4 linked regions of the Canis lupus familiaris genome follow. The protein of the gene in region 1 purifies or fractionates together with the protein of each later gene. This does not show direct contact. Links are inferred from orthologs where the notes say so. Each region holds a gene or a part of one and is shown in the gene's direction. Other genes may lie near its edges.

Region 1 (4,198 bases):
TCGGCATAGGGCTCCCTGCTCAGCCGGGAGCCTGCTTCTCCCTCTCCTTCTGCTCCCCTCCTGCCAGTGGTCTCACTCTCTCTCTCAAATGAATTAAAAAAAAAAAAATCTTGGGGATCCCTGGGTGGCTCAGTGGTTTGGCGCCTGCCTTTGGCCCAGGGCGTGATCCTGGAGCCCTGGAGCCCTGGAGCCCCAGGATCGAGTCCCACGTCGGGCTCCCGGCATGGAGCCTGCTTGTCCCTCCCAATGCCTCTCTCTCTCTCTCTCTATGTCTATCATAAATAAATAAATCTTTTTTAAAAAATCTTTAAAAAAAAAAAAAGGTCACGGGCAAATTGCTTGAAAAATCAAACAGGGCAGCCCAGGTGGCTCAACGGTTTAGTGCCGACTTCGGCCCACGGCCTGATCTTGGAGACTCGGGATCGAGTCCCATGTCGGGCTCCCTGCATGGAGCCTGCTTCTCCCTCTGTCTGTGTCTCTGCCTCTCTCTCTCTCTCATAAATAAATTAAAAATCTTAAAAAAAAAAAAAACTGAAACAAAAGCCTGTGTTCTACCAGGACTCCACCTATCACAGATATTCAGCCTCAGAGTCAGTATTTTATGAAGTCCAGTGCTGATCTTGTTGCCACTGAAAGTGTTCAAGCGGGGTTGGAAGCTCTATAAAAGGTTATTTCCTACATTGGAGGAAGTTCGAACCGTTTAAGATTTTGGATGCCTTTTCAATTCTAATATTCCAAATCTCCGTGATGGATGAGCAAGATCTGAGTCTCCAAGATGAACACCTCATTTACCTTCCCTGGCGCAGAGAGCCGGAGCTCAGATCTAGAAGTCTCCCTCTGTGACCTTGCCATTTATACAATAAGTTTCAGGTTCAGATGCTCTCTTCGAAGGGAGACGGAGTTGAGACAACACGAGAGGATTACCGAGTCTCCGTGCGCCTCCACCAGGGGCCGCCAGATGGCGCCCCGGGACCAACTGCGAGATCAACTTCCTTCCTCTTCCCCCAACTCTTCCCGGCAGCGGGGGCCCCGCTCCGGGCTGGGGACCCGAGGCCTGGGGCCCCCCAGCTTCCCTCTGGGGTTCCCCGGCTTCAGAAGTGGGCAAGAGTTAGGCGCAGCATGAGCCGAGTAGCAGCAGGGACTGCCAGCTGTCTGGGGGCTGGCGGGGCGGGTAAAGAGACCGGAGCCGGGGCCCTTGGCCGGGAGATGGCGCCCGGTCAGCGAATCCAGCCTGCGACAGGTCCCCCTGCCAGAGCCCTAGCAGTAGCGGCCCGTCATCCTACCTCCCGACTCCTCCGCCTGAGCTAGTATCTCCCCTCTAGGGGCGTGCGTGAGTCGCTCCGGATTGGCTGCACGAGTCCGGAGTTAAACTTTCAGCCAATGAAAAAGGGCACGGGGCGTGACGCACGGAAACGTCACGGGAATTCCCCCCTCCCGGGGGTGGAAAAGGGGCTTTCCCGGCTGGAGCCTGGGTGGCTGTGGAGAAGTGTCGCGACCCGTCCGAGGTGGGTCGGGCCGGAGAGAAGCCGGAACCGGAGCCGCCGCCGCGGTGAGTGGCCGGGACACGGGGAAGGGCGGAAGGAGGGCCCTTAACTAACCGAGGCTCAGGGCTGGAGAGCGGTATCTGCAAGCACACACAGGACGCACACGAACAAGACGTACGGATACTCATCGACATCCTTGTACAAAAAAACAAAACAAAACACGCGGACCCATACGTGCACCTACGCGTATGCGAACGAGTGCACAGCACTGTCCATGCATTCAGACTCGCGCACACGCAAACATGCTCACCCGTGCACAGGTGCCTGGACCCATATCCTTCACGCACGAACTCCTATGTTCACCTGTGCCCTTACATATCAAAACACGCTCAGACGCGTCCACACTGAGAAGTTCACAGACGCTCACCTGCACACAGCCTTGCTCACTGGTACATGCATACTGACACCACGCAAGCACATGGGACGACGCACACTATGCCTGTGATACACACACACGGCCATGGGCCTGGGGCAGGGGGCGTGGGCACCCGGAGCAGGTGCGGTGTGGGAACCCAATGACTGCTGAGATGTTTCGGGGAGAGGCAACAGAAGGGCCCGTCCCAAGAAGGAGACCCTGTTCCTCCCCCCGCCCCACGGCCCCAGAGTCCGTTCTCGGGGCAGAACCCCGGGGGCCCCCGCTGGGAAGAGCCCCCGCCTACAGGCCTTCGGAAAGGAGGCCTTCCTACAGCAGGAATGTCCCCCCAAAAGCCCCCGGGTGAATCAGCCGTGGCCTCCCTCAGGGTAGAAAATCCCAAGGTTGCTCCAGGACAGGGGAGGGGGAGGGGGCGGGAGGCGGGCCTCGCCCCGACCTAAGAGCGTCCCCCACCTTTGAAAGGCCCTCCAGCCCCCCGCACCTGCCCTGGGACGAGGAAGGGGGCCCAATCACCAGGGGCGCCTCCCTGGGTCTGGCTGCCCCTCTGCCCTCAGAGCCGCTGCAAGCTCGGAGGCCGCCGCCGACCTCGCGCCCCTCCCGCCGCGGGGGCGGGGCCAGTGGCGTCATTTCCAGGCCCGCCCCCTCCGGCCCCGCCTCCCCCTGGTATTTTCGGGACTTTCCTAAGCTGTTCTAACTTTCCTGCCGCTTCCCCGGCCCTGCCCAGCCCAGCTCCGGATCTCGCGCTCTGCCGGATCTCGCCCGCCACACCCGGACGGGTGGCTGGAAGAGATCAGACCCTCCCCCAAATCTGGGGCCCACTCGCCCCCCCCTCGTGTCCTGATCTGTCTCTCCCTCCCACCCCCCGTCACTCCCCCCCGCCCCCACCTAAGGCGGGCGCCTGAAACACTCTGGGAAACAGAACCTGGCCGGAGCCACCAGACAGAGCCGGGCCTAGCCCAGAGACATGGAAAGTTGCTACGACCCAGTGAGTCACGCCTCCTGGCCCTAAAACCGGCCGGCTGCCCCCCATGTCTGTCTGTCTGTCTGCCTGTCTGTCGGAGTCCCCTCTGCCCCCCTACACCTGTAATGCCCTCTGATTATCTCAACCTGCTTGTCAGTCTGCCTGCCTGTCTGCAAACTTTTTCCAAGAGGAGCTTTTTATGGGTCTGGGGAGGAAAGGGAGTGGCTACCCAGGGCTGGGAAGTGGAAGGCTCTCCGGTGTCTCAGATTCAGTTGCCACCCTAATCTGTTTCCAAACCAGGGTCTGGATGGCATGATTGAATATGATGATTTCAAATTCGACCCGTGCATTGCAGAGCCCAAGGAGCCAGCCCCAGAGACAGGTTAGTGAGTTCCTTAGCTCCCCTTGTCCTAGAGAGGGGGGAGGGAGGAGCATGTGCCCTCTGACTGGGGGATGGCCCTGAAATCCTGGCTCAGCAAGGCCCCTTTGTCCCCAGCTGATGGACCCTACTTGGTGATAGTCGAACAGCCTAAGCAGGTGAGTGAATGGAAGGGATGGTGTGGGAGGACTTCGGCTGTAGGGACCAGTGGGGTAGTTGTAGTTGGGTGGCCATGGGGAGGGTCACTGATCACGGAGGCCACTTCGGGTTGAAACGGCTGACTGCTACTGATCACAATGGAGGTGTTGTGGTTCAGGAGAGACACTGCCAATTGTGGTCACTGATGGCTGGGAGTGTGACTGGCTTGGGGGGAAAAGAGGGGTCCCTCCTGTTCACATTGTCAATCTGCCCTGGGACGTTCAGCGAGGCTTCCGATTTCGATATGGCTGTGAAGGCCCCTCCCATGGAGGATTGCCAGGGGCTTCCAGTGAGAAGGGTCGGAAGACTTATCCCACAGTCAAGGTGAGTCAGGATGGTGCTGGATGGAGGGTGGGCTAACAGTGTGTTCAGGAGCATTACTGACAACCCTCACCCCTCCCAGATCTGTAACTACGAGGGACCAGCCAAGATTGAGGTGGACCTGGTAACGCACAGTGACCCACCTCGCGCTCATGCCCACAGCCTGGTGGGCAAGCAATGCTCGGAGCTGGGGGTCTGCGCCGTGTCTGTGGGGCCCAAGGACATGACTGCCCAGTAGGTGCCCCCTCATTGCCTCCCAGTCCTAGGCCCCAGCCTGCCTCTGTGAGTTTAGCATCTGACCAAGGAGAGAGACAGGTTGGCCTCAGAACCCCAGGCCCCAAGTGAAAACCAGGAAGGCTTCCTGGAGGAATGAGGGCTGAGCTGAGGCCTGGCAGTAGAGAGGGTGCCTCAGGAGGAAAGAA
Region 2 (4,306 bases), about 1.9 Mb from region 1:
TCATCAGTATCCCTCCCTAGCTCTTCCAAGTGAGCGTTACAAGAATATGGCTCCAACTGTGGAGATCAAACATACTCTAGTGCTAGCTATGCAGTACACCTAGCAGACAAAGGGCTTTATATGTTAGGGGCAATTGGTACCACAATCATCTGTGCAGTCTGCCCAACTCTAGCAGATGTTTGGGAAGTACCATTTGCCATCACCTCCAAGTCTGATACTCCAGCTCCATAGCAACCAAGCACATGTAGGAATCCATCATCTGCTACCACACATTACTGAGGCCTAACACGGCTTGTACATGCCATGCTCAACATTTTGGTTGTACCATTCAGGGATTCTGAATCAATAGATGCATGTTCTCTGCCAGAAGCCAATTCAATGCTTTCAAAGCAGCCAGCAACACTGCTGTGATGCACATGCTGTATTCATCTTTAGGCTTCTCAACATGTTAATCTGTGGGTCACAAAGTGTTGGTTGGAATTTAAGTACTGAGATCACAGGTGGGACTGTGCAAACGATGGCCCAAGTGCACATGATGTCAAGGGGTGTTCAAATGACTACTTTATGGAAGCAGTAACTGATATATTTCTTCAGAGAACTGGATGCCATAGTAATTTTTATACCCAGTTCTGGATATACTGACTGGATCCCCAAGTTCTGTGAGGCTGAGGCATATGACCAACTTAAAGTGAAAATGGGAGGTTGGTTCTTCCATGCTAAGGCTATCTGCCAATGGCAAATGCTTCTAGTTGCACCAACAGCATTCCTGAAGCTTGCCTCTGCAGCGCTGCATCACGAATCAGACACAGTTCCCTCAGTGAGGAACCACTGCACTGGCAAACCCATTAATGGAAGACCGACCACTGGACTGCAACCTCCATGAGGCACTTCGGGGAAAATTCCCCAAATCAGGAGGAACATTCTTTACTCCACAACAGTGTCACATCCTTGAGTCCTTTGTGATTACAGGCGAGATCCTGGTACAGGTGTACAGGAAGTCAAGCAAAAGATCTGAGCCTGATTTTATGGAAGATGATTAATCATTAAAAAAAAAACTATAAAGTGTAATGCATCGGTAGACGTGTTAGCGCAGGATTCTTTATAGTTTTTCGGATTCCGCAATATTTGAATCACTGGTGGCTTCTGCCAGTGCCACTTCAGCGAGCGGCGGAGTTGGAGGATAGATGGTAGAGGTCTGAAGAAAAGGTGAAATGCAGACAGGGTGGAGACGATGTGGAGTTTAGAACATGGCTTGAATGGAGAGCTTATAGTTTGGAAGCCTGGGAAATCCTATGTGGGTTCTCTCAGCCAGGAGAATGCCCAGGAGACTTAGCGGACTGGAAGCGAGCTGCCCTCATCCCGACCCTTTCTCTGGCCAGGTTCCTGTGTGCCCCCGGGAGCAGCTAGGGAAGGGCTTTTCCTGTGGCGGTTACCGGAAGTGACGCACACATCTCGCGAGAAGAAAGACGCGCGAGTCTCGGCGGCCCGGAACCGGCCTGGGAAGAGTGGCTGAACTTCAGGCCGCCAGCCCTCCCGCCCCATGGAGCGGCCCCCGGGGCTGCGGCCGGGCGCGGGCGGGCCTTGGGAGATGCGGGAGCGGCTGGGCACTGGCGGCTTTGGGAACGTCTGTCTGTACCAGCATCGGGTGAGGTGGGGCGAGAGAGGGAGCGGCGGTGGGTGTTTGTCAGAGCGTTTGTGGAACACAGCGACTGTCAGTACGTGAGACATTGTCGGTGAGACTTTGGGCAGCACCGTGGGCCGGTGAGCCTGTGTGAGTGAGTGTGTATTACTGTGCTTGTCGGTCTGGTGACTGAGTCCGAAGCTGTATCTGAGGTCCTGGGTCAGTGTGTGAAATAGAGCTCTTGTGGGGGAACTTTTGGTACGAACGTCAAGAAGTGACAAACTGTTTACCGAGTGTGACACTGCGATTGTGTCTCCGAGTGTAGAGGGTGTCGGGATGTGGGAGGCAGAGCCACATTAGAGTGTGTATTGTGAGCATGAATGGGTGAGAAAACGGGACTGAAGAAGGGGGTTGTCTGTTGGAATGTGTGTTCAAGTGTGTGCTTGGAGGCTGTGTGATATTTGTAGGGGCTGGAAGAGACAAGGAAGGTTTCGGAAGCATCCAGTAGGCTTCAGATCTTGGAATGCGTTCTGAGTAGGGAACAGTGTGAGGATCAGCTTGGTGAAATGATCATGGCTTCCTAAGGGAAGGAAGTAGATTGGGCGTGAGGTGGAAGACAGCTAACATCGGAGTCAGGAATTTTGCTTCAATTTAATTGAAAATGTTTAAGCATTTAGCAGCAGTTAATAATCATGTTTGAGCCATGCATCTTTCAGTATACCAATAAAAGCTATGAAACCTTTCCCCAGCAAAATGCACAGTTGCACATCCCCACCACCTTAGGTGCTGCCATTTGAGGGGGCTCATGCTCTCCTGAAGGATGTTCACAAACCTTTTAGAGGTATTAACCCTTGACTGATAATCTTTGCAGTGTTGCCTTTGTTTTTGTCATCTGTATTTTGTGTAAGATAGTTATATACATCATAGGTCTGTTTGAAAGTTAAAGAAGTTAATATGGGTAAAGCTAAGTACAATACCTGGCCTAAGTTAAGCCCTCAAGTGTTAGTTCCTGCTGCTGTTGTGTTGTTGCTATTGTCATCTTCTTTACCATTATTTTGTTTTCTTCTTTACCATTATTAATTAAACTTAAAAAAGGATACGTCAAGATAAAAGTGGCGCCCTTGGAGGACTGTTTTGTAAAAGATAAATCTGAGTGAAAAACACGGGACAAGATGAACAATTACAATATTATTCAAATGCATGCAATTGGCTTGTAAAGGGAATAAATGAATTCAAGATTTGCTTGAATCTTAAGGAATAGGGGTATGGGTAGAGAGCCCATAATATAGGATGGGAGGTAGGGGCATGGGAGTATACCTGGGAAAAATAGGTATGTTTGTGTGGCAGTCACAATGACAAATGTCAGTGATGGAGCTGAAGAAATGTTGTGAAGCAGCTTTCTAGATAGAGCATGGGAGGACATCTTGAAGAGAGGGAGAATGGGAGGTGAAGGACTAAAGCATTAAGTACTCTGACAGCTAAACAAGTAGTAAATTTAATAATTCTCACCATCAGAGAGTACATAAGGCACTTAAAGAGAAAAGAAGGAGCCAAGTACTTCCAGTGAAATGTTGCCTTTGGTGTTGTTATCTAAGCCTGTTCATTAGCCTGGTCATAAAAAAATATATGCTTGGTAGCTTGCTTTGTGACTGCTTTTCTTGGTCACTGGTTGGAAATAGATCAACACATCATTTTTTAAAAAAATTGTGATAAGGTATATATAATGTGAAATTTACAATCTTAACCATTTTTAAGTGTACAGTTCAGTGGCATTAAGTACATTGACATTGGTATGCAACCATTACTACCATCTATTTCTAGAACTTTTTCACTTTACCAGTCTGAAACTGTATTCATTAAACAATAACTCCCCATTTCCTCCTCCCCCTGCCCCCTGGCAACCACCTTTCTACTTTCTGTCTCCATGGAATTAATTACTTATTAAATGGAAGAGATTTGGGTTCCTCTAGAATCCTAGAAATCTCTCAGGAACTTTCCAGGTATCTAGACTGGTTCTTTCCTCAAATTGGAACATTTGACAACGGGGCTTGTAGTGGAAAGAGAAGAAATACTCTAAGACTTGGAAATAGCTTCATTACTTTTCCAAGCCTGACTTTGGATTTGCCCTTAACAGTTTTCAAGATCTTTGTGTTTTGGTGGAAGCCACGTCCCCAGTATTTTATCTATATCTCTTAAATCACAATGAGGAAGAGAAAAGGATGTGAGATGGTTTATTTATCAGATTATTATGCTGGGATGGGTGCTGATGGTATCCCAGTCAACAAAAATCGTATTTTCTGCCCTCAAGGAGATTTCAAGTCTAGTGGGAGAGGTAGACACAAAAACACTTTAAGTACAGCGTGGTAACCTATATAACAGATATATTTATAAATTTTTTTTTAATTTTTATTTATTTATGATAGTCTCACAGAGAGAGAGAGAGAGAGAGAGAGAGAGGCAGAGACACAGGCAGAGGGAGAAGCAGGCTCCATGCACCGGGAGCCCGATGTGGGATTCGATCCCGGGTCTCCAGGATCGCGCCCTGGGCCAAAGGCAGGCGCGAAACCGCTGCTATGATAGAGTGGCAAAAATAACCAAAGAATTCTTCCTAGGGAATAATGTAGCACTTCTCAAAGTGTGTTTGGGAAAATTAGTCCTGTGAAATGCTTTGAAAAAAGGATACTG
Region 3 (4,296 bases), on another chromosome or scaffold:
TCCCCGGAATCCACCATTCCCAGGGGGCCGAACCAGGAGTGGGGGCAAGGGGCTGGGGTGATGCCCTGAGGGCCCTGGGGTAACTGTCTCCCCTCTGCCACCTCCACCCCCCCCAGAGTGTGGGGTGTGGGAACACGTCCATTTCTCTCCTTCCCTCCACCCTTCCCCAAATCTCACCTGAGCCTCCTGCACCTTCCCTGCCTGGGTCTCCAGAGGGTCAGAGGCTGGGGGAGGAGGGGGAGCAGACGTGGTTACAGTGCGGGGCACAGTTAAGTGGGGATGAAGGGCTTCAAAGCAGAGGGGCAAGGGGCAAGAAGACCCACCAACCTAATTATACTGGGGTGGGAGGTGGTGGTAAAAGCTGAGCAGAGGGAGGGAGGGGATGGGGAAAAGCAGATCTTATTAGGATAGACAGTGCTGTCTGGAGAAGTGGTTAGTGACAGACAGAGGCTGGGGCAGGAAGGTTTGGGAGAGGGAGGAGAAAGTAAAGCATACAGGCATGGAGGAAGACTTAGAAGTGAGGAAGCAAACAGTAGTGAGTGTGTGTGTGAGCACGTGTGTGTGCAGGGAGGGTTAGGGTTTACAAACAGAGGGAAGTTTAAAAAAGGAAGAGAGAAAACAAAATACGCTTAGCAGAGACAGGTTTAGGAAAGGAGGTGCAGTGGAGACAGCACGTTTAGGAGGGGCACAGGAACTAGAGGGACGAGACAGGAGGGGGCGCCAGGGGTCCCCGAGCATCCTACAGTTCCCCCTAACAACCAGGTACCCTTAGCAACCGGGGCCGCGGCAATCTAAGTCCTTAGCAACGAGGGTCCTCAGCAACCGAGGTGCGAGAAACACGCGGTCATTAGTAACTTAGGGGACGTAGCAAAGGACCCTTACAATCTCGCGACCCAGAAACCCACCAGCCTGGCAAGATGGATCACTTAGCAACGACCCCCCACCCCCGCCCCGATTCCCACTGGCCGCCATGCAGCCCCCGTCTCCAGCCCCACCACGCCGGTCCTCGGGCCCCGGGGCCTGCAGCCCTCAGCCAGGCCCCGGTGCGACCCGACCCTCCCACCGGGGCCCCCGACTCACGGTCCGGCTCGGCCATGGGCGCGGGGCGGGGGCCCTCGGGGCTGTCACCGACTGCTCTGTCCCGTGACGGCACCGGAAACAGGAGGGGCAGAGACAGGGCAGAGAACTACGACTCCCAGCAGTCATCGAGGATGCATACAGGCTTTTCGTCCAGCGGCGCCTGCCGCTCTCGGGCTAGGAAGACACGGACGGCGAGACTACGAGTCCCAGAGGGCTCCGCGCAGGCAGCCATGTTGGTAAAGGGCGGCCGGAAACTGTGGGAATGGGTAGAGAGCCGCAGTCCGTCTGAATACTCTGAATGGTCACTGTGTGGTAAGGGGGCGGGGCGTGTGCTCTTTAGGTCATTCTGATTGGGTGAGCCAAGGGGGAGTGTTGGGGAATTCCCCGCAGGGCGGAAGCGCCGGGGCTTCAGGCAAAGCCAGCTACAGGCGGGCGGCCGCTGGGGCCCCTGAGGCTTCGGGGGCCATGGCCGGGGTCGCGTGCTTGGGGAAAGCTGCGGAGGCCGACGAATGGTGCGACAGCGGCCTGGGCTCTCTGGGTCCCGACGCAGCAGCCCCCGGAGGACCGGGGCTGGGCGCCGAGCTGGGCCCGGGGTTGTCGTGGGCGCCCCTCGTCTTTGGCTACGTCACTGAGGATGGGGACACGTGAGTGAACCTTAGGCTGCCTAACGGGGCCCTAGGATCCCACCTCTGATTCCCTATTAGTCTCCTATCCCGGCTCCCTAACCTTTCACTCTTAAATCTAACTTCTGATGCTCGACTTTCTGATTTGTAACTCCTAACCTTTAGTAAAACCAATTTCCTAGCCAACTTTGACCCTAACTCCTTAATTTCTCCGACTTTCCTTTCTTGAGCTCTGCTTCATATTGCTCCACATCCCTATCCATTGATCCCCAAACTGGTTTTGATCTTCCCGACCCAAGTCCGGAGACCTTTGTTAGAGTTGTGGTCCAGACAGGCTCCTCCTCACCTCCTACCTCCAAATAGGATCCTTGATCCTTAGCCTCCTGATGGATGCGCCTTGAACTTAGATTTCCAAAATTAATACATGACCTTGATTCTTAACATTCTACCTTCTGAGCACCGATCTTCAGATCTTACATCCAAAGGGAAAACGTAAGCTCCATGATAGCAGGGATTGATGCCTGTTAAGTATTTGCTGAACACCACCACGTTCCAGGCACTGGTTTAGGTGCTGCGATAAAGCAGTGAGGAAAACAGACAAAAATTTCCGCTCTTGTGGAGTTTACATTCTAAGGTGCGTATGTAGACAGACAAAAGGACAGACAGGCTGACAGAAAGACAGGAAGGAAGGGAGGGAGGGAAAGAGGAGAGAGAAGGAACAAAAGAAACTAAGACACAGACGCAAAGTGAGAAAGAAGAGAAAGGAAAAGAAGAAACAAAGAAAAACGAAAAACAGTATAAAGGAAAGGCAGAAAAATAGTGTATCTGAAGGTAATAAGTTCTTTGGGGGAAAAATAAAGCAGGAAAACGAGATCCGTAGAGTATCTGGGGGAGAACTCTCCAGGCAGAAGGAACCAGAATTGTAAAGGGCGGTGAGGGATTGTCCTGGGGTTTTTTTGTGTATTTGTGTCTACTCATCCAGTCATGGTGACTAAACAGGGCTTGACCCATAAGAGGCGTGCAGGAAATATTGTTCTTTCCAAAGACCCCTGCTGAGGTTTCATTAGTTTTCTTTATTGGTTTTTTGCTTTCTATTTCATTGATCTCTGTTTTGATTTTCATTATTGCCCTCTTCGGCTTACTTTGGGTCTAATTTTTTTTTTTCTTTCTTTCTCTCTTTTTTTAAAGTTTCTTAAGGTGGCAGCTGAGATCATTCATTTGAGACCTTTCTTCTCTAACATTGGTGTTTCATGGTATAAATTTCCAGCAGCAGTACTTTAGCAGTCTCTCACAAATTCTGATATGTTGTGTTTTCATGTTCATTTAATTCAAGATACTTTGTAATTTCTCTTTTGATTTCTTCTTTGGCCAGTGGATTATTTAAAAATATGTTATTTAGGGCGCCTGGGTGGCTCAGTTGGTTGAGCTCAGGTTGTGATCTCAGGGTCCTGGGATGAGCCTCCCATTGGGCTCTGTGCTCAAGTGTGGCATCTGCTTGGAATTCTCTCTCTTTCTCCCTCTGCCCTTCCTGCTTATGCTCTCTCTAAAATAAATAAATAAATAAATCTTTTAAAAAGGGGTAGGGGGCAGAGGGAGAGGGAGAGAGAAACCCAAGCAGGCTCTGTTGGGAGCAGGGCGTGATCCCATGACCCTGAGATCAGGGCCTGAGCTGAAGCCAAGAGTTGGTCATCCAACCCACTGTGCCACCCTGATGCCCCTAAATAAATCTTTTTAAAAAAATAAATATGTTATTTAGTTTCCAGATATTTGGAAAGTTTTCCAAATGTCTCTCTTTTATTGATTTTTAATTTAATTCCCTTGTAGACTGAGAACATACTTTGTATGACTTGGATCCTCGTAAATTTATTGAGAATTGTTTTATGGTGCCACACATTATGCGTGCACTTGAAAAGAGTGAATATTCTGCTGTTGTTGGGTGTAGGGTTCTCTAAAAGTCAATTAGTGGTCCTATTGGTTTATCATTTTATATATCCTTACTAATGGTTTCTGTCTCCTTGTTCTATCAATTATTGAGGAGGGGGCATTGAAATCTCCAGCAGTCATTATGGATTTGTCTCTTGTTCTGTCAGGTTTTGCTTTGTGTAATTTGATGCTCTGTTATTAGGGCATGGATATGTAGAATTATTATGTTCTTTTGCTTAGTTGACCTCTTAATCATTACAAAATAACCTTCTCGATACTTGGTAATATTTCTTGCTCTAAAGTCTAGTATGATATTAAAATATTCACTCCTGGGCAGCCCCGGTGGCCCAGCAGTTTAGTGCCGCCTTCAGCCAGGGCATGATCCTGGAGATCCGGGATCGAGTCCCACATCAGGCTCCCTGCATGGAGCCTGCGTCTCCCTCTGCCTGTGTCTCTGCCTCTCTCTCTCTCTCTCTCTCTCTCTCTCTCTGTGAGTCTGTCATGAATAAATAAAATCTTAAAAAAACACAACTCACTCCTGCTTTCTTTTGACTGACTGGTGTTAGCACAGTATATCTTTTTCCACCCTTTTATTTTAACCTATCTTTTAATACCTATATTTAAAGGGTATTACTTGTAGGAAGCATATATAGTTGGGTTTTGCTTTTTT
Region 4 (4,095 bases), on another chromosome or scaffold:
ACAGAAACAAGATAATTTCTTAATTATATTTGAATGCAGATAAAAAAAAAAAAAATGAACAGTGTCCAAACCACCAAAAATGACCCAACATCCCCCATCCTGGTTAATGAGGAGGTTCCTGCTTCTTTAGCAATTACAGCTTCAGCCTCAATCTACTGTTCCCTCGGTCCAGGCATGAGATGCCCAATCACAGAATTATCCCTACTTCCTGACAGCATCTAATCCAGAGTAAAGCCTCATTTCCTTAAACCCTCTTCCAAATCACCTAACGACTCTTACTGAGCCGCCTAGGATTTCTCATGGCGGGTATTCTCCCTCCCTGCATCCAGTAATAAACTCAACTTGCTCAATCAGTATGTACGCGACGGTCTCCGGTTAGCGGATAGACCCGACAAAGTTCACACAGAGCTGAAGGCCGACTTCACTAAGAGTCTCCAGGTCTTCAGCTGCGGTCCTCCTTAGCGCCTACTCTTTTCCCACCACCAGAATTAAGCACCATGATAACAGAGTCCTTCCTCGTAATGTTCGGAGCGGACTTCAGACCTGGCAGAGTCCGAAAGTCTAAAAAATAATTATTTTCTGAAGAATGAGTAAGAGGGGCTCAGTATACACAGGTTCCCTTTCATCCCTCAGTCACTCCCACTTCGTGGTGCGTACAGACAACACCGCAGTTCATCGCCATAAACCCACTTTCCCCAACGACATTTCCGAACCTCTCACTTCTGGGTTGCCCATACTCTCAGAGCCCCTCCTTTGCCCGACGTTCCCTCGCTTGCTGGTCCCTCCTACACCCGAGCCCCAAGCCCTCCTAGTGCACCTGGAACCCACCTGTCTCCAACATCTGCCCCTAGCCATCGCTCGCTACCTAGGCGTAGACTGGGCACTGCGGCATCGACTGCGCATGTGCGGAAACCGGTCTCACAGGCAGGATCTCTGAAGAGGGAAGAGTTACCTCTGAGTTTCCGTCCCGGTCTGAGTCGCCGGAGGCTGCCAGGAAGTCAGGAGAAGCTAGCCGGAAGGAGAACCCGCGCGCAGGGCTTTCTGGGACATGTAGTCGCGGCATTCCCGAGGCCCTCTTTGGAGGGAGCCCTTAATTCTTTAGGTTTGCACGCCCCATGTTCACAGTCCAGTGCTACTTTCGGCTCAGAATTCAGCTTCGGGGTGCCAAGAGAGATTAGCCCGGTACTGACTTCTCGTTCCCACAGCGCTCTGCGGGGCCCCCGGCGCCTGCTGGGAGCTGTAGTCCTCGGTCTGCGTACTGCGTTCGCCGAGGGGGAGGGCGGAGCTGCCGGCGGCCCGGGCGGGCTGGCAGCTAGAGTGGGTAAGATAGCCGCCTCCGCCTCTGCCGCCTCCGCCGTCGCCTCCTCCGCCCGGGCCGTTCGCTGCTGCGCGGGGAGAGCGAGGCGGGGCCGCCGGGGCCGCCATGGAGCCCGACTCGGTGATTGAGGACAAGACCATCGAGCTCATGGTGAGTGAGGCCCGCTGGACCGTTCTTCCGTCCGGCCGGCCGCGGGCGGGCCTGCCCGCCTCAGCGTCCGGCGCGAGGCCGCCCTGGGCCTTCCCGGCTGCTTTGGCCCGGCCCTGGGTCCTGGCTTTCCCTGGCCTCGGGGCTGGCGCGTTTCCTCCGGATCCCTCGAGATCTCAGGCCGGACCTGGCCCGGCCACCTCCATACTCCTCGGTTCTCCTTCCTCCCTCTGTCCTATATCCGGGCCCATCTCTCGAAGGACCCTCGCTAGCTTATGCTGTGGCCTTAGCTCACGCTCGCTGTAGCATCTCATTCTCCTTCTCTTAGAAGGAGATTTCCCCGCTCTGTTTCTCCGGCGCAGGCCTGCACCTTTCTTGCAAGCCCCACTGAGGCCGAATGAAATGGTGGTGGGCGGGGGGGGGGGGGGGGGGGGATACGGAGGAGGTCGGTCAGGGCCTCGCTCTCCGCGTCCTAGTAGGGGCCTCAGCACCCTCTCCCCAGCGCAGGGCTGTGTGGATGCCGGGATAGGCCCTCCAGGGGTGGAGGTGGGAGGTCTGGGGTTTGAGGCTCTGACGGACAGGGGCCTCTTTCCCGGCCCCTGCGGTGTCCGGCTTCTCGGACAAAGGGTTTCCTACTCCGCGGTGAGGGATGTTTGCATAGCGAGGCCCCAGGTACTCTGGATTCCATCTCCCAGGAAAGAAAAACCGCAACTTGGTGTTTCCCAGCGTTGCTTTGGGAAAATGGGGGGGGGGGGGGGTTGTTTGTCCTCCTCACTGCCGCCAGTTCTTTCTTATTAAAAAAATAAAGAGAGAATCCTAGGCCCCTAGGGGAAGCGATCACTCTTCTATTACAGCCCACTGGTAGCCATACCAGACTCCCCGGCCCTAAGGACACCCCAGCCGCTTTCCATTTTACGACTTGGAGCCAGAAGGGGTTTTTAGAAACAGAACTACGAGAGAGTGGCTAGTAGAAGCGAAGAACTTGGTGCTCGGTAGATGATTTGGTGGAAGAAAAGAAACATGGCAGCTATTACCTGCCAATTTGAACATTGGGGAAATCAGCCCGGGCTCTGGAGAGTTGGGAGGAGGAAGTCTTTACCTCAGCCAGCGGACATGCCCAGGGTTTCTTCCTGTGGAAACCTTGACAGTTTCTTTGTATCTCTCCTACCACAGTAACAACCCCCTACCCCTGGGTTGAGAGGAAAGGTGAAAGAATCTACTTAACCCAGCAAAATGTTTTCCTAGCCAGATTTTCTCCAGTGTGAAAATGTTTATTGAGTCAGTGATTCCACTGGGTAGGGTCGGTGACATCAGAGCCACTTCCCTCATTTAATGCTATAAATAATAAATGGTGACACAAAGTCTGTTGGATAGCTAGCTGCATGGTTTCTGTGGATGATGGTTGGTATCTGGGGAGTTGAGATGCGTGTTTTAAAAATGGAAGTACAGTAGCATAAATACACCAGCTTAGTATTTGCTGTCCTTTGCATAATTCACAGAACTAGCCAGTATTCTTTAAAACTAGGGGGAAAAAAAAAAAAAGCTTTGGTTGGTTCTGCTTTGTGTGCGCACACGTGTGCTTGCCTTTTAAAGGATGTTGTCACGTGTGAATTTCGATTTTCATTAAGTAATTTTTCCCTTTTAGTGTAATTTATCAAACTATTGTAGCGAAGGCTTTGATATTCTGGAAATTTTATAGGGGTTATTTTGGTAAAATATCTTATTGGAATTCCATATATAATATGTATTCTAATGGATGTACAGTATATGTCCTCACAACTGGAGGAGTACTTCATATTGAAAAACTGTAACTTGGTGCCTTTGAAATTGGCTGTTCTGTGCTCCTTCCATTTCCATTTAAAAAATAAAATGCCTTTATTTTCAAAAGAAATAGAAGAAATACAGTGTAATTAATTTAGTATTTTTGAATGGTAAAACAAAAAATCTCTGTCCTAAATTTATTTGTTTCTCATGCTCATGACTTTAAAAAAGTTTTTGATTATACATGATTTTACTTGTTTATGATCTGAAAAGGTATTTCAGCCTTTCAAGGACATTATAAACTGGGATTCTCAGAAAATTTAACAAAGATCAATTTTGAAATGACTTTTCATATTCAGATTTTGATATTCTTTCAAAGGGATACCAGTTAAGACTCTTCAGCAACCCTTTTCATAACCATATATGTATTTATCTTAGTATAGTAGATAGGACAGGTATTTAACAACTGATTTAGTAAATCCAGGATTGTATGTAGGAATGATAATGCCTTAAAATCTAATTGCATGTAGCTCCCTGTATTCACTGTAATTTAATTACAGTTTCCAGAACTAGGTTAAAAATACTTTTTATATTGGTTTCAAAATAACATGATTGAAAGAAAGGAATGGGTTAAACTGATGGTATGTTGAAAGCCTAAAGCATGAAATAGTTTTCGATTTTTATGAGTCAGCTTCAGTACTTAAATATTTGTGATTGTGGTGCCTGTACCAGTCTGGTACTTAATGGTTAACAGGATAATAACTTTCATTTGATACTCTAGAGAGTGCTCTAATATTAAAGACAGGAAACAGACTTTTTGGGCATCTCCAGTTTCTTAATCTTCATCCTTCCACTTCATTTGATTTGAT

Evidence for each region. The genes of interacting proteins can lie anywhere in the genome.
Region 2: the proteins of NFKB2 (region 1) and CHUK purify together in Homo sapiens (affinity purification with western blotting; 4 studies listed by BioGRID and IntAct, with this or other methods). This does not show direct contact. The link is inferred for Canis lupus familiaris from reciprocal best matches to the Homo sapiens genes NFKB2 and CHUK.
Region 3: the proteins of NFKB2 (region 1) and NFKBIB purify together in Homo sapiens (affinity purification with mass spectrometry; 4 studies listed by BioGRID and IntAct, counting the BioPlex papers as one, with this or other methods). This does not show direct contact. The link is inferred for Canis lupus familiaris from reciprocal best matches to the Homo sapiens genes NFKB2 and NFKBIB.
Region 4: the proteins of NFKB2 (region 1) and FBXW11 purify together in Homo sapiens (affinity purification with mass spectrometry; 8 studies listed by BioGRID and IntAct, with this or other methods). This does not show direct contact. The link is inferred for Canis lupus familiaris from reciprocal best matches to the Homo sapiens genes NFKB2 and FBXW11.

What each region holds. Positions count from the first base shown.
Region 1 is NC_049249.1:15,092,073-15,096,270, forward strand, and holds the start of NFKB2 (nuclear factor NF-kappa-B p100 subunit), read left to right. Parts: upstream 1-1,394; 5' UTR 1,395-1,549; intron 1,550-2,807; 5' UTR 2,808-2,881; coding exon 2,882-2,902; intron 2,903-3,178; coding exon 3,179-3,260; intron 3,261-3,374; coding exon 3,375-3,415; intron 3,416-3,680; coding exon 3,681-3,779; intron 3,780-3,858; coding exon 3,859-4,010; intron 4,011-4,198. UniProt on the Homo sapiens protein: NF-kappa-B is a pleiotropic transcription factor present in almost all cell types and is the endpoint of a series of signal transduction events that are initiated by a vast array of stimuli related to many biological processes such as inflammation, immunity, differentiation, cell growth, tumorigenesis and apoptosis.
Region 2 is NC_049249.1:13,186,513-13,190,818, reverse strand, and holds the start of CHUK (inhibitor of nuclear factor kappa-B kinase subunit alpha), read left to right. Parts: upstream 1-1,470; 5' UTR 1,471-1,540; coding exon 1,541-1,645; intron 1,646-4,306.
Region 3 is NC_049222.1:115,001,052-115,005,347, reverse strand, and holds the start of NFKBIB (NF-kappa-B inhibitor beta), read left to right. Parts: upstream 1-1,460; 5' UTR 1,461-1,545; coding exon 1,546-1,724; intron 1,725-4,296. Other genes in the region: SIRT2 (NAD-dependent protein deacetylase sirtuin-2), read right to left, coding at 1,081-1,206. UniProt on the Homo sapiens protein: Inhibits NF-kappa-B by complexing with and trapping it in the cytoplasm.
Region 4 is NC_049225.1:41,128,563-41,132,657, forward strand, and holds the start of FBXW11 (F-box/WD repeat-containing protein 11), read left to right. Parts: upstream 1-1,259; 5' UTR 1,260-1,423; coding exon 1,424-1,468; intron 1,469-4,095.